Anolis sagrei: one gene and its partner. The protein of the gene in region 1 interacts with the protein of each later gene in a biochemical or structural test. Links are inferred from orthologs where the notes say so. Each region holds a gene or a part of one and is shown on either strand. Other genes may lie near its edges.

Region 1 (7,098 bases):
TCCAGACAGACATGTTCACTGTATATAACTTAGGCAACAGCAAATGGACATAACTTGTGTACACAGAGAGACCAGCCATGTATGCTAGCCCTCTAAGAGCTTGGTAAACCTCACACTTTGGCAAGCCATGCTATTTATTTTGAGATGTTTTTAAATATTCTCGTTCCATTCCTTTTCGAAATCAAGTGCTCCAAGCAGTTAACAACATCATAAATTGAAAATCAAATCATACAGTATAATCATATTAAAACACAGCAGAAGATGCAATGGGTTTCTCCCTATTATTGCTTAAATTATATTCCAGGACAAAGAAATGGGAAAAGTCACACAGAGGTCAGGTCAAAACAAAAAGGGCTTAAGATCATGATTGAAAACTCAGCAAGGTTTTGTTAGATTGTCAGGCTGGGAGTAGAATGAGCCAGATACAAAGTCCCACTCACCCATGAGACTCACTTCCTTCCCAATTATTTATTTATTTATTTATTTATAGTATTTGTATACCGCTTTTCTCACCCCGAGGGTTTACACATAAGTAATGGCAAAATTCAATGCCAGTACAAACAATTACAATTATACACTACAACTGGACATAAATCAAGTTTTAAAAGTACATCCACAAGCAATAAAACAATCATTAAAACAATAAAACAGTGTCATACAACAAATCGCCATTCCAGTCATTGTTTTTCTGAAATGCTGCATGCATTTACTTCTACTGCCTGAAGGCCTGGTCTCAAAACCATGATTTTAATTTTTTTCCAAAAGCCAGGTGGGAGGGAGTGGATCTTACCTCATTTGGGAGTGTGTTCCATAGGCGGGGGGCCACAGCCGAGAAGGCCCTGTCTCTTGTCCCCGCCAGACGCATCTGTGCTGTTGACGGGAGCAAGAGCAGGGCCTCCCCGGATGATCTTAGATTACGAGGTGAGACGTAGGGGTGGATGCATTCGGACAAGTAAGCTGGGCCAGAACCGTATAGAAACTTGTTGTGAGAATTGTATGGGAGGTGAATCGGGTATGCCACATTGAAAATACATAACAGATGGATCACCTGGGGAATTAGGTTTCATATTTACTGGGTGAAAACAGATAACCGTGTTTCTTTTCCCCATCCAAGATCAGAATCAATATTTGTTCCTGTCTGCCTTCAAGTCGTTTCAACCTATGGTGAGCCTAAGGTAAAATTATCACAGCATTTTCTTTGCAAGATTTCTTGTGAAGAGATTTGCCATTGCCTTCTTCTGAGGACGAGAGAATGTGACTTGCCCAAGGTCCCCCAGTGGGTTTCATGGCCAAGCAGAGATTTCAAAGCCTGATCTAACTTAAGATCTGTTTCTCCAAAATTGTATAGGAAATAGTATTTTGAAATGCTCCATTTTTCTATGCCCCCTTTGTTGCCTACTCTCTCTTCACACTGAGTTTTTCTCTCTCTAATACAGTGGTTCTCAACCTGTGGGTCCCCAGGTGATTTGGCCTACAACCTCCTGAAATCCCAGCTAGTTTACCAGCTGTTAGGATTTCTGGGAGTTGAAGGCCAAAACATCTGGGGACCCATAGGCTGAGAACCACTGGCCAAAGGGAAAGAGCAGAAGACATGTAAGGGATGGACGTTGTCCACTGACCCACAGGCCAGATATGATCCATGGGCAAGGCACAGAAGTGTCAAACTTGTGTGTCTCTAGGTGTTTGTGACTCCATCTCCTAGAAGGCCCAGCCAACTTGTCCAATGGTCAAGAATTCTGGGAGCTGAAGTTGAAGGCCACAAGTTTGACACCATTGGTCTAAAGATTTTTTCCCTATACATGTATTTGAATATCTATTATTTATTTATTTATTTATTTATTTATTTATTTATATTTATTTATGACATTTATATGTCGCCCTTCTCACCCTGAAGGGGATTCAGAGTGGCATACAAGTTATTTGTAAATGGTATAAGATTGGCTTACAAGTTATTAGATTGGTAGTATATAAAAATACTAATACTTAACTTAAAGACCTGGTAGGGCATTTTACTGGAAAAGGCTCTGCAGAAATAATGAATATTAGGAAACATGCTTCCATAAGAAAGTTATGTTATATATTCATCATTCATTAGATATGTGCCTTTTGTCATCAGTGGGGATTTGTGTGAAACAAGACTTTAAAGGATCAAATCAACTTTTAATATCTCAATAATACTGGAAATCGAATGTAGTCTAATTCAGTATTTTTAGGTGAAACAAATGTGACACGATATCATTGTGTGAGTGAATGTGTTTGCATTTGCCTGTTGTTGTGTGCACACAGATAAAGCTTTATCAAAAGTGGCCCATAGTGTTTATTCTAATTAGATGGGTAATTGGACATACAAAAGGTTAGCAGCTACCGACTTGATACCACATGTACTTTTTTGTAGTATAGAGCCAATCTTGAGCAAGTCTTCTAAGTTCTGTATGAAACTAAATAGTGTCCATACACAAAGCAGTGAAGAAAGAGCCAAAACTTACAGGAATGCATATTCAAAAACAAACATACAACAAGTTGGGAAAGGTGCAAGGTAGTGTTTGCCTGTCCTCAGTCCCAGATCCAAACTGCTTCATCAGTTTTAAGATAGTTCCTAATGTATTCTTAGCAAGAAACCAACATGCTCCTTGTACTACCCCTCCACAGTAAACACAAACCAGGCACACAGCTGTAGAAGCAATAGTAAAATAACAACACCAGTTTACAACACAAAGGCATCCAGAAGCAACGTGCAGTTGCCAAGAGTTACTTCCCTTGTACTACATAGATAATTTCCCACACATACACCCAAAAATACCATTAAAGAAACATGTAATAATGTTCTTATAGGGTTCACTTCTACTCTTGAGTACAAAGCCTATTTGTTTTCAAATTGTTCGTAAATTCTACTGTACCTGGTTTCGGCGTCTCCGTTCAACATGTGGAGGTTTCAGGAACACGAGACACTTCAAGAATAGGTGAAGCGGTGCTTGAATAGGTGTGTCTAAGTACCTTCTGCATGTTTCAGCTTGACAGCTCTCCCCTATCATGTGGGTGGCATTCTTACACAGAGGCAGAGGCTTGGAACTCAGAAAATGATATCACAATGCAAAGTTAACTCACTGAGTGCCTTATGATGCAGAGAGCAACAGTGCATTCCGGAACAAGACAGAGTCATATTTGTTCATGGTAAATGCAGAATTGTTACTCAGTATGCAGGATTCAGATAATTTATCTGAAGATGCATCTGGTGCAGGCATTCTGAGTTTTATGTGTACTCGGCAACTAATAATCCAGATGTTAGAAAATGCAACTCAGTCTTTTCTTCACATATTTGTGATTGCTGCACAGCCACAAAAATATCACATTGAGTGGTTGGGATGCAAACAGTGAAGATGGACACAATATTCTAGGCTTTGCCTGTCATTACTTGGACATTCATCAGAATCCTTTATGACTTGACATTATATAATGTCATTTATCCCTAGCTACATATCAGATACCCTTGTGCATCAAACTGGGGCGTGTAATAACATAAAAGCAGTCCTCTACTGGATATGGAGATGCAATTGCACAATTAATAATTTCTTTATGATGATGTGAGTCTCTAATAGGATTCCATCCATTATACACTCCTTAATAACACTAGCCTTTATTCAAATTCTCATAGGCCATTTTCCTAAAGCAGGAAATAGCATGAACTCCATTTCCAGTCTATGGATGATAGCTCTACAACTTTTTAAAATGTTCACTTTTGGTCATTAATTAAAAAGCACAGCTTGAAAACAGGATGTAAGTTGTGAAACAGCAATGACAGTCTATAAGAACTATGTCTGATAACATATATAACAGCTAACATGATTTGAAAATACCTGATAGGCCTGGAATTCAATAAATGTGCTGCCCATATTTTGTATCTAATAGTATATTTACCAGTATTTATACATGTATTATTGAAACCCCCAAGACTAGGGACCTCATCAAATGGGTTTTTCCCCCATCCTAGCACGTTGCCATGACGGAGCTGTGATGGAGCCTGACGGAGCCCATCATATGACTATTTGTCATATGAGCCCATCAGGACTACTTCTAGCAGCGCTCCATCTTCGCTCCATCCCGGCTGTGTGCTCAGAGGCTGGCCTGAGGTCACCTGTATCCTCATTGAAGAAGCTACAGACAGCACAGGCGGAAACCAGGGACAGCTGGGAAATGTCATGGGATGATAAGGGGACTGCCCTCATGGTTTCCCTCACTGCCCCACAATTTCTCCTGCTCTCCCACAGTTTCCTCCACTGTCTCCCAGCTTCTGGACCTCAATCTGATGAGCTCCTAGGTGTCAATAAGATACATTCCAAACCTTCCTTGCTTGGAGTAAATTAGGGTTTCATATAAATCTCAGATCATATCAGTTCAAACAAATATGACAGATTGAACTCTGAAGCTCTTTGTTCACTTCGGGGAAACAATCTAGGGTGGGGAAATCAATAATGACTCCAAATCAATGTCTGATTTGATCATGTGATCACATGTAAATCAGTAAGCACACTTTTAGTATTGGTCCCCTTCTTGAAATTGATTAATCAAGGGGATTTTAGGAAATCCTTATCTTTGCTCATTAATATGATCAATCCAATCCTATACATCTGTAACCCAAATATTTTCTGGTGAGCAGCAGAGAAGATGTGACTGACCCCAAGCGTGTACTATGTGAGGACACATACACGGTGAGTGAAAAGAGACAACCATTGAGCTACTGTTAGAAGGTGGCTCTTCTGGTCAGATAAATAGTATTCAATCTGTTGTGGCTGTATTATACACTCATCAAATTGTATGTTGTTATGATTGACTTTTGCTCTTGTTGTGAACCGCATTGAGTCGCCTACGGGCTGAGAAACTGCAAAGCAAAGTAAATAAATAAATAAATAAATCACCTAGATGTTCTGGATCCCCTTTTAAAATCTATACTACACATATTTATCTGTAACAGTTTTAATATTCATAAACTATCCTGAGTACTAGTTCTCAGGAAACAGCATGGAAATAAATATTAGCTTGATTTCACTGCCAGGTAGTGGACCATCCGATATTTGGGGGAAGAGAGCAATGGAAATAGCGAATCAGAGCTTGGAGGACACATGTAAGCCATAGCTGCAGAATTTTGAATCCAAGCATTATAAAGGTTACTCAAATATATTTGTGGTGTAAGTAACCTTCACAGGACAATGGAAATATTTTAGAACTTCACACCATGAAGGGAAAGAAGATTTTGTATACTATACTCTGGGAATGTATTTTTTTCTTCAAATCCATCACCACACACACACACCTCCCCCAATGGCAGATAAAAGTCATGGTAGAAGTTAAAAGTGCTGTTTCTTATACTCTACATACATGTGTGTGTGCACACACACACGTTTATTCTTGTTTCCATCCCATATTAATGGACCTAGTCTATAGGGGGGAGGCAGAGGGAAGAGACTTGAAAAGTGCTGCCAAAAAAGTAAATGAAAACAGAATTCTACTGAATCTCCATGTTTGCAACACTACTATAGAACTTTTTTTAAAGGAAGTCTTTACATGGCCTTCATTTCGTTTAACAAAGCAAGAGCTGGGACTCTTGTATGCAATGTTCTTTCTCCGTTGGTCCTACGAGCGGAAGGTTAAGGCTCTCTCCACCCCCATCCGAGCAAAGGAGCCAAGAGAAAGGAGAAACGGTCTATGCTGTACTGCTGCTGCTGCTACTGAGCACAGAGGCCTCCTTTTCTCGAAATGTGATTTATGGAATGAAGCTCTTGGCATGTCTGCCACAGGCTGTCACAACATGTGTCAGAGCTCCAAGACTGAAATATTATCCCATTGCCTTCCAAGAGGCATTGTGGCTTCAAGCAAGTTCTTTTAGCAACCCAAAAATTGCAGGCAGTCATTTTCTCAGGAGTCTGTATTCTTCATTCTTGCAGCCATGTGAAAGGAATATTAATTTGATGCAAGCCTGTAGCTGGGGGTGGGGGGTTGGTATGGGTTCAAACACACACATCCTGAAACTTTTCAGGTTCAAACACACACATCCTGAAACTTTTCAGGTCCAAACACATACATCCTGAAACCTTTCAGGTTAAAAAAAAACTGGTTAACTCGTTATTTTAACTGGATAATCAAGTCCCTATGCTAAGTCTAAGAGAAGCAAAAATTAGAGTTCCTCCTGAACTGCAAGCACTATCTCAACCAGATTTTGCTATTTTATTCACACCATCATTACCTACCTTTCCACCAATTTACATTGCAATAGCAGCAATAACCAACATAGTGGAAGCGACCAAGTTGCTGATGTCTAATCAACATTTTCGACATGAAGATGATTTAATCCACCAAAACTGATATCAGAATCGGACTCCTTAGGTTAAACTCCATAAGAAAAACTTAAGTTTGAATACAATTTATGATGTTTCCAGATATAATAATAATATTAATAACAACAACAACAACAATAATAATAGCTTAAAAACAAAAACAAAAACAACAATAACAGATCCCAAATGTAGACTCTGCAAGGAAGCAGATGAAACAATAGATCACATCCTCAGCTGCTGCAAGAAGATCGCGCAGATAGACTACAAGCAGAGGCATAACACCTTTGCTCAGATGATTAATTGGAACTTGTACCACAAAATACCATCTGCTTGTGACAAAGAACTGATGGGATCACAAGCCGGAAAAAGTTACAGAGAATGAACACGCCAAACTCCTCTGGGACTTCCGGATTCAGACAGACAGAGTTTTGGAGCATAATACTCCTGACCTCACAACCATGTTAAAAAATAAAGTATGGATCATCGATGTCTAAATCTCAGGTGACAGCAGGATTGCAGAGAAACAACTGGAAAAGCTGACACAATATGAGGATTTAAAAATTGAACTGCAAAGACTCTACAAACCAGTAAAGGTGGTCCCAGTGGTGATCGGCACACTGGGTGCAGTGCCTAAAGACCTCGGCCTGCACTTAAACACAATCAGCGCTGACAAAGTTACTATCTGCCAGCTACAGAAGGCCACCTTACTGGGATCTGCATGCATTATTCGCCGATACATCACACAGTCCTAGACACTTGGGAAGCGCAA
Region 2 (7,541 bases), on another chromosome or scaffold:
AGATCACCTGCAAAAGTTACAATTGGAAGCATGTTGTGATGCCAATGCAGAACTTTTCACTTGTGTTTTCAATGGCATTAAACCCTACAGACAGTCTAATACATGGTCCTGAAACTATTTAAACAGAGGACAATTTCATGGTTCTTCAGACTATTGGGGGCCTCATGGACTATAGTTTGAAAAAAATAATGAATTCCTATGCAGACTGGCAGGATTGTAGCCAGAAATCTTTTTTTTTTTGGGGGGGGGGAGGGGGTGTTGATTTTTTAAGTGAATCATGAAGAGTAGTTCCATAACACAAAATAATTTAAATAGTATGGTTCATTCTATATTTTATATAGACTTAATTACATCAATTTAATTTTTGCTTCTCATAAACCTAGCATGGGGATTTGGTTAACCAGTTAAAATTCATGAGTAAACTAGGTTTTTCATTTTAACCTGAAAAAATTGGGGGGGGGGGTGTTGAACTCCTACCCCCCTTCCTCACCTGCACACTGCACACATCTTATTTGTCATACAATACAATATTTAAAATGAAGAACAATGGGAAGTGTTAGCCTGCATTTGGCTGATGAGATAGCCAAGTTAATTCGGATTGTTGTTGCCTAAAGTTAAATCTAAAGTTTAGGGCAGGGATGGGTAATTGACCTTAGAGGGTCTACAGGCCTTAGTTTGGGAACCCCTGGTCTAATGGAATAGAACTTATTGACACTGAAACATTTCAAACAAGATCAAAATGTGTCAGGATTATGATTAAACTCTCAAGCTGTATTGGAAAAAGTACATTTTTGCACTGTAGCATGTGTACTAAAAAGGTAATTTCCCCAAGCTGTTATATTATTAAAGTAACATGAAAGTTTTCCCTGATTTGAATGGATTCAAAGTTGAGTTTACTTGTTATTTCTAACAAGCTTTTTCTGCAGTATTTTCCCACCAATATTCATCTTCTCCTGCACAACATCCATTTTATACAGTTATTTCCAACAACTCTAACCCAGATACACATTCCAGTGCTCAAACCACTAGACCATAGTGGCAGTCTATGCTCATAAATGCAAATATTTGTACTGATAGTCATGCCTATCCTTAATCTCATTAAATCCTATTGGGAATTAGTGGTTGTTGTGGTTAATCTTTCCAGGATATCCCAATAACATTTAAACATAATTATATACTGAATGAACATAATTTCAGTAAAATAGTAAGTTGAAAGTTATAATTATATTAGAAAAAAGCAAAGTTTTCTAGTATTATTGAACCTTCTTCATTTACCTTAACTATATCAATGAATTGGTCATATTTGTTTTAGATGTTACAGTGGGATTGGACATCAAATATAAAAATTGCAATTAAAAGTCTCTTCAAGCAGGTGCAAGCATTTAAGAAATTAACACAAGGATATAATGTTAAAAGAGATGAAAGGATTTTTTTTCACAACAATAAAGTTCAAAAGGGCTGTTCTTCTTGACATTTCTGATGTGGTCTGAGTGTCTAAGCTGTTTAAGAGTAAACATCTGTTGTCTGCAATGATTTTATCTTCTCGATTGATGTGAAGTGCTCAGATCAGTTCACAATCTGGAGAAGACCAACTAAAATTAGGGAAAAAACATAGGATCAGGAAACTCTTAATAGCTCAACAGTTGGCATCTCAATCTGGGCATGGAGAGTTCTTTATATATGAGAGCTAATGTCCAAAATTTGGTGAACCTTGGAGACATTTTGTGTCATGCTCTGAAATAGATCTATTTCCCCATTTTTGAAGGATACAGAAAAAAACATGAAAAATCAATTAAGGCAGTTATCAGCATGCATTAGTGTCTCTCTGATTTTTGGAGTGTTTATGTTTTCCTCAGATGACTAATAGCAACCAAATTTTGGGTGAAACCATGCAGTTTCCCCTATTGTTATACTACAAGATTCCAGCTTTGTATTTATGTAGCAAAGCTTAATTATCAGCATAATGTGTAAAACAGTAGAGTGATTCATTCAGCTGCATGTGTTTGAAATTAAAGAACTTGTGAAACAGTTCCTTTTTATGAAATTGCTAGTAAACATTTTTGGAGAATGGAGGAGGGAGAACAAACACTGCATTACTTTCTCATTAACTGAGCCGAACGTGGGGAGAGATATCGTTACATAATTGTTGTGCTGTGCCTATTTGAATCCCTTCATTAAAAAGAAAAGGACTTTCCTAATAACCTGTTCACTAGAAAACTTGCAAGTGCTTTCCACATTTGTGAGGAGTGGGATTCTCCTAAGGGATTGCTGCACTTTGAGTTTTTACCACCGTGAGTTTTAGGATGCTTTGTTTTCATCTAAACATAACCACCACACCACTTTTCTCATTATACTTTCCCATGTATCCTCTTAAGAATATTCCTAGTTACAATCAAGGGGACTATAAATAGAGAGAATATTGTTTTGATATTCTTGCATCCACCCCTTTCGGTAGACCCAGGAGTTTACACACGCTTACTGAGCAAAGGAGGACCAGCAATACTCACCTTTCTTGATATTTCCCCCTCGCTACCCCATTCATGTTGAAGTGGTAAAGACGGGTGATACCATAAAGAGAATGAAAAGCTTTAAATATACTCACCCTTCAGGGCAGAGGAGAAAGAAGACCACAGCTGTCCAACTCTTGGGGCTCTGGATCTTATTAACGTCACTGAGCTCTGGAGCTGAGAGCTGAACTTTCCCTGCCGTTAGCAGGCCCCTGAATGAACTGGAGTTCGCCAAACTTTCTGCAGCTAAATAAACTCACTATTACTTGAAGGCTTCCTCCAGAACACAAAAGTACAACAAATGGGATGGTGTGAGTACAATGACCCCACGGAACCATTTGAAGTCTGCAAATTGACTCCTCGGCTAAAGGATATCATGGAAGGAGGGGGAATCTGTCCCTCCCCCTTAGCTGTAACCTGCCTTTCTCAATGGAGTATAAATTGTTGCAGCAGCCGGCATTGCAGTTGTGAAGAGACACTGCTGTATTCCCTTATTGTCTCCTTGTAATCCCTCTTGCGATCAGAGACATAGAAAAACTCAGCCTACACTTTGGCTGCCTCATTATGTTTCAAGTGGAAAGCAAAAGACACAATTTAAGAGGAGTGTTAAATACCATACCTGCAGGGTATAACATGTACATGAAGCAAGTGTTTGAACTTTTCCCTCTTTATGATACATTTCAGGTATTGTTAACAACGACATAAAAAGTGGTGTATGTGTGTGTTTTAAAAAAGAGGCTCCCTTTGAGGGAGTTAGGTTCACAGTAAACCTGATATCTTTCTGTTGTCCCACTGTTAACAAATGTTAGATGGCTTGAAAAGACTCTCTGTAACTTGGGATGTTTGTTATTAACACATATCATGTTATATTTGTGTCTTACAGGTTGACTCTAACCAGCATCAAGGATGGTGGGCTTAAAATATAGTTGTTAACATGACCATTAGGTGCCTGAACCTGTATGGATTTCTTTTGGACTGAAAACCGAGCAACTGGCTAAGCTTTCAGTTTTTAAAAAAGAACCTTGTATTTATATAATAAAAACAGCATCATTCATCAGTCAGGTCCCTTCACTCACGTGCTACGATGTGTCTGCAAAAAAGCTTGACTTATAGTAAGTAATAAAAGTGAAATGACTTCCTTTCTGTCTGCCCCCAGTTCCTTCAGTTTCTCTCTTTCCATCTCTCCCTGGAGTCTATTAAAAGGATAAAAACAATGGATATTGGTGGTAAAAGAGAAGCAGCAAATAGTTGATACTGGCATTAAGAAATAGCTGGCTACAGTTAACTCTCAACATCTGTGGGTTTCACTTTTGTGGATCTGATTTTTTTTTGTAGATTTGATCAAAATGTTCTCTTTAGAAATCTCTAGGTCCTTCAGTGCAACTTTGTGATCACCTTCCAGCGAATATTGCAGGTTTTCATTGGTCAAAGTGGCTTTGCCCTACTTCAAGCAATGTTGGAGGATGCTTCACACTTTGCTGGAAACTTTGGCTTTGAGGACATCTGGATAACTAGATTGCATCTGATTTAGATTAATCCACTGTCCAGATAGGACACTGGCACTATCATCCTTCCCTGACCTCATTAATACAGGAAAAAGAAGATGCCCTTTCATCACATTCACCATTTATAGTCAGCCAAGAACTCTGAACTCCCAGCCATCATGAGTGCCCCATTTTGACATCAACAGAGGCAGTGCATGACTAGGAAGAAGAAGAAAAAAAGAAGAAGAAGAATTTTATTTTTTCTACCCTGCCTCCATCTCCCCGAAGGGACTTACATGGAGCCAAGCCCAGGCAACATATAGTTAAAAACAAAACCAAAAGAAAAATATTTAAACAGCATAAGAACAACATCATCATAAACAGTAAGAAACAAGCATAATAAGCAATAACAGAGATACCTCTAGTCCCATTTTGGGGAGGGGGGGCACTAGTGTGCAAACGAGTTAGAGGATAGGCTGATCAATAAGGTGGATAGAACATATAGTAGCATAGGCATACCACAATTATGACAAGATCATTTCAGTTTAATTTAAAAGTGTAGTAATCAAATACAGGAACTTGAATTCAGGTCATGGTTAAGGACCATCTGCCAAAGGAATTATCAATCGAATGCACAACGAAACATCCACATCTTTAGTTCCTTACGAAATGTGGATAGGGAGGTTGCCAGCCTGATCTCCCTGGGGAGGGAGTTCCAGAGATGAGGGGCCACCTCTGAGAATGCCCTTTCCTTCGTCCCCACCAACTACGCCTGAGACGGGGATAGGAGCGAGAGAAGAGCATCCCTGGATGATCTTAAAGACTATGTGGGCTCGTAGGTGAAGATGCAGTCACGAAGATAGGCAGGTCCTGAACCATTCAGAACAAGAAGGAGGGGATGTTGGCAGTAGTGAGTGTCCAGTGGTGTCAATGTGGTCTTGGACCATGTGGATGCCAATGCAGCACCACAACAGTCAGTGAGGGCATTCATGTGGGTGGTTTGCTAATGCCCCTTGACACTCCTTTTGTCACAGTTACTCAGCAGACACAAAAAAGAACTGGGAAAGTTTTTTCTTTAATTTTTTTATTGCTGTAACTATGCCGTTTTGAAGATCTGATAGTTTGACTTATTGAAAGCTTCCTGTTTCACACACATGGTTGAAGTTTATTGCCTTACCAGAGAAGAAGGAAGGTAGTGCTGGGATGTGGGTGGTTGGGTGGGATACCTCTCTCTTTTTGGTTTCCAAACATATGCATCTGCTACAAACTGATTATTGTTCCCACAAAGAACTATGGCATTTACTTTTTTGAATTTTGAATCTCATTGCTTTGGTTCTGTGAGAGAAAGTACTTCTGCAGTTGTGACTTTTTAATTAAAAAACCAAAAGTAAAAAAAAGAAAGTGATTTAAAACTATGGAGGAGCAAGTAATGGGAGGAGACAACACCCAGCCATGTGATGGGAAATGGAGCGGATGGATGAGATAGAAATGGGAGGATGTGACCCTGTGTGATAGACTTGTGTGAATTCCTTTTTCTTTACAGGCATAAGGACATGAAAAAAAGATGATTTTACCCCCTCCTTGTGGAATGAGGTCCTGTATTCGAATTTTGAGAAACTTTCAATAAGCCACTGGAGTTGACAGCTTATGTATATTTTTCTGGACTTTCAGTGAGACTTAATTGAAACAAAATCCTTGGGATTAAGATGGATTTAAGGGTATGTTTCTGGTTTGAATGAAATCCCAAATCCTGAGCTAAACCAGGCTTCTTCAGATAAATTTGGAATTCACTCAAAATGAGCCAGGAATCCCTGAAGTCACACTGAAGCAAATCTGGAGCTTTCCAAAGCTTTATGAGCAATGCAGAAATTTAGAAGGAGACAGAGCAAACATCCAGATGCTCTTCACATTTTCTAGCAAAATGAGACTGGATTTTCACCCAACTTGTTTGTTTGGCTGTTGTTCCAGTGATTTATTTATTTTCTAGTTTATTGCATTTATAAGCTGTCCCTTTTTCTAATGTGGAATCCAAGGTAGCTCACAAACAATATAGCTCAAAAGATAATAACAAAATGAAAACACAATTAAAATATTACAATTAAAAATGATTAATTAAACAATATACAATTTCACAAATGAAAAAGTCAGTGCTGCCCTTATAAAGATTCCTACAATTAATTAGTCATCAAAAATCCAACTTAAGCAAGGAGGTTTTTGCCCTCAACTAATGAAAATACCATCTGGATAATAGGTTCCTGAAGCCAGTAGTATTTTATTATAATCATATCTTCCCTTTCTTCAATTTACCATTGCAGATTATAATATCTTTCCCCCCAAGCCTTCAGTTCAAACAGTGACAGTTGATGGCTTCTGTCTGTCTGTCTGCTCAGCAATCAATCCCACATTTCTTCCAAAACTGGAACTCAAGGAAGTTTGCAAGGTAAAAGAAAATACAATTAAAACACACATTAACAAAAACCCATGTTTTTTGGACCACTATTCCTGCAATGAACATGGGAACAATGGTCCCAAAAGTAGTATGGGTGCTCTAGTTCAAAAAGTAACTCTTCCAAGTTGTGGTCTCCAGAAAGAGAACTTCTGTGTATTAAGGGTCTGTGATTCAGGCTGTTAAAATACTACAAGTTTATTTTTGAATACGATGTTATATTTTTGAGAAGCATTTATATTACAAATATACTTGTTTATCTTTCCTATGAAAACAGGCTTTGATCCTCTTTTTGGAAAGATCACTTGAGGTACATCAGTTGCGAACTTCAGAGAACCTAAAGTTGATTATATTGGACCAAATGTTATCTCTTTAGTCAACAAAAGTAAGCACAGAACAGTAGTAGTCATTACTACGGCACTGGAACAAAAATAACAAGAAACAAGGATTAAAAGAAACAAATACTGGTAGAAATAATACAAATTGCTTTGGTGCCATAAGCCTTATCAGAACATCACGGAAAATGCAACCTTAAATGAATTAAGATACAACAACATACAGTTTAATTTTGAATTTCCCAATCTTGACTATGACACAATGCTTGTTGAGAGAAGTTGTTGTGATTAAATTTCATAAACCTAATTGTGTCCTCAGATAACATTCTACCAGCTGGCTTTTCACAGGACTAGGAAGTGTAAATTATAATCCTATCGTCATAAAACAGAAACTATGCAAGTATTTTCTACATTGTTTTAAAAATTCAGTAAATATACAATGAAATATACAAAGTTTGAGCAGAAATAGTTTTAACTGAATGTCATTTCTAGAATATATATATATATATATATATATATATATATATATATATGAAAACATGTGCAAATATTAGAGCTTGTTCAGGAAGGATATTGATAAGCTGGAAAGGATCCAAAGGCTGACCAAAAAGGCTAAAGGCCTGGAAGCTAAGCCCTATGAAGAGGAGGATTGTTCACATATTGACAATGTCATAAAATATTATGTAATGAAGACCAATTCTAACCACTATCATAGAATCATAGAGCTGGATGAGATCACAAGGGCCATCCAGTCCAACTCCATACCATG

The links. The genes of interacting proteins can lie anywhere in the genome.
Region 2: the proteins of FGFR2 (region 1) and FGF10 are reported together in a solved structure, tested with the Homo sapiens proteins (3 studies listed by BioGRID and IntAct, with this or other methods). The link is inferred for Anolis sagrei from reciprocal best matches to the Homo sapiens genes FGFR2 and FGF10.

What each region holds. Positions count from the first base shown.
Region 1 is NC_090023.1:200,546,913-200,554,010, reverse strand, and holds the start of FGFR2 (fibroblast growth factor receptor 2), read right to left. Parts: upstream 3,005-7,098; 5' UTR 2,898-3,004; intron 1-2,897. UniProt on the Homo sapiens protein: Tyrosine-protein kinase that acts as a cell-surface receptor for fibroblast growth factors and plays an essential role in the regulation of cell proliferation, differentiation, migration and apoptosis, and in the regulation of embryonic development.
Region 2 is NC_090022.1:275,736,341-275,743,881, reverse strand, and holds the start of FGF10 (fibroblast growth factor 10), read right to left. Parts: upstream 3,014-7,541; 5' UTR 2,603-3,013; intron 1-2,602. UniProt on the Homo sapiens protein: Plays an important role in the regulation of embryonic development, cell proliferation and cell differentiation. Required for normal branching morphogenesis. May play a role in wound healing.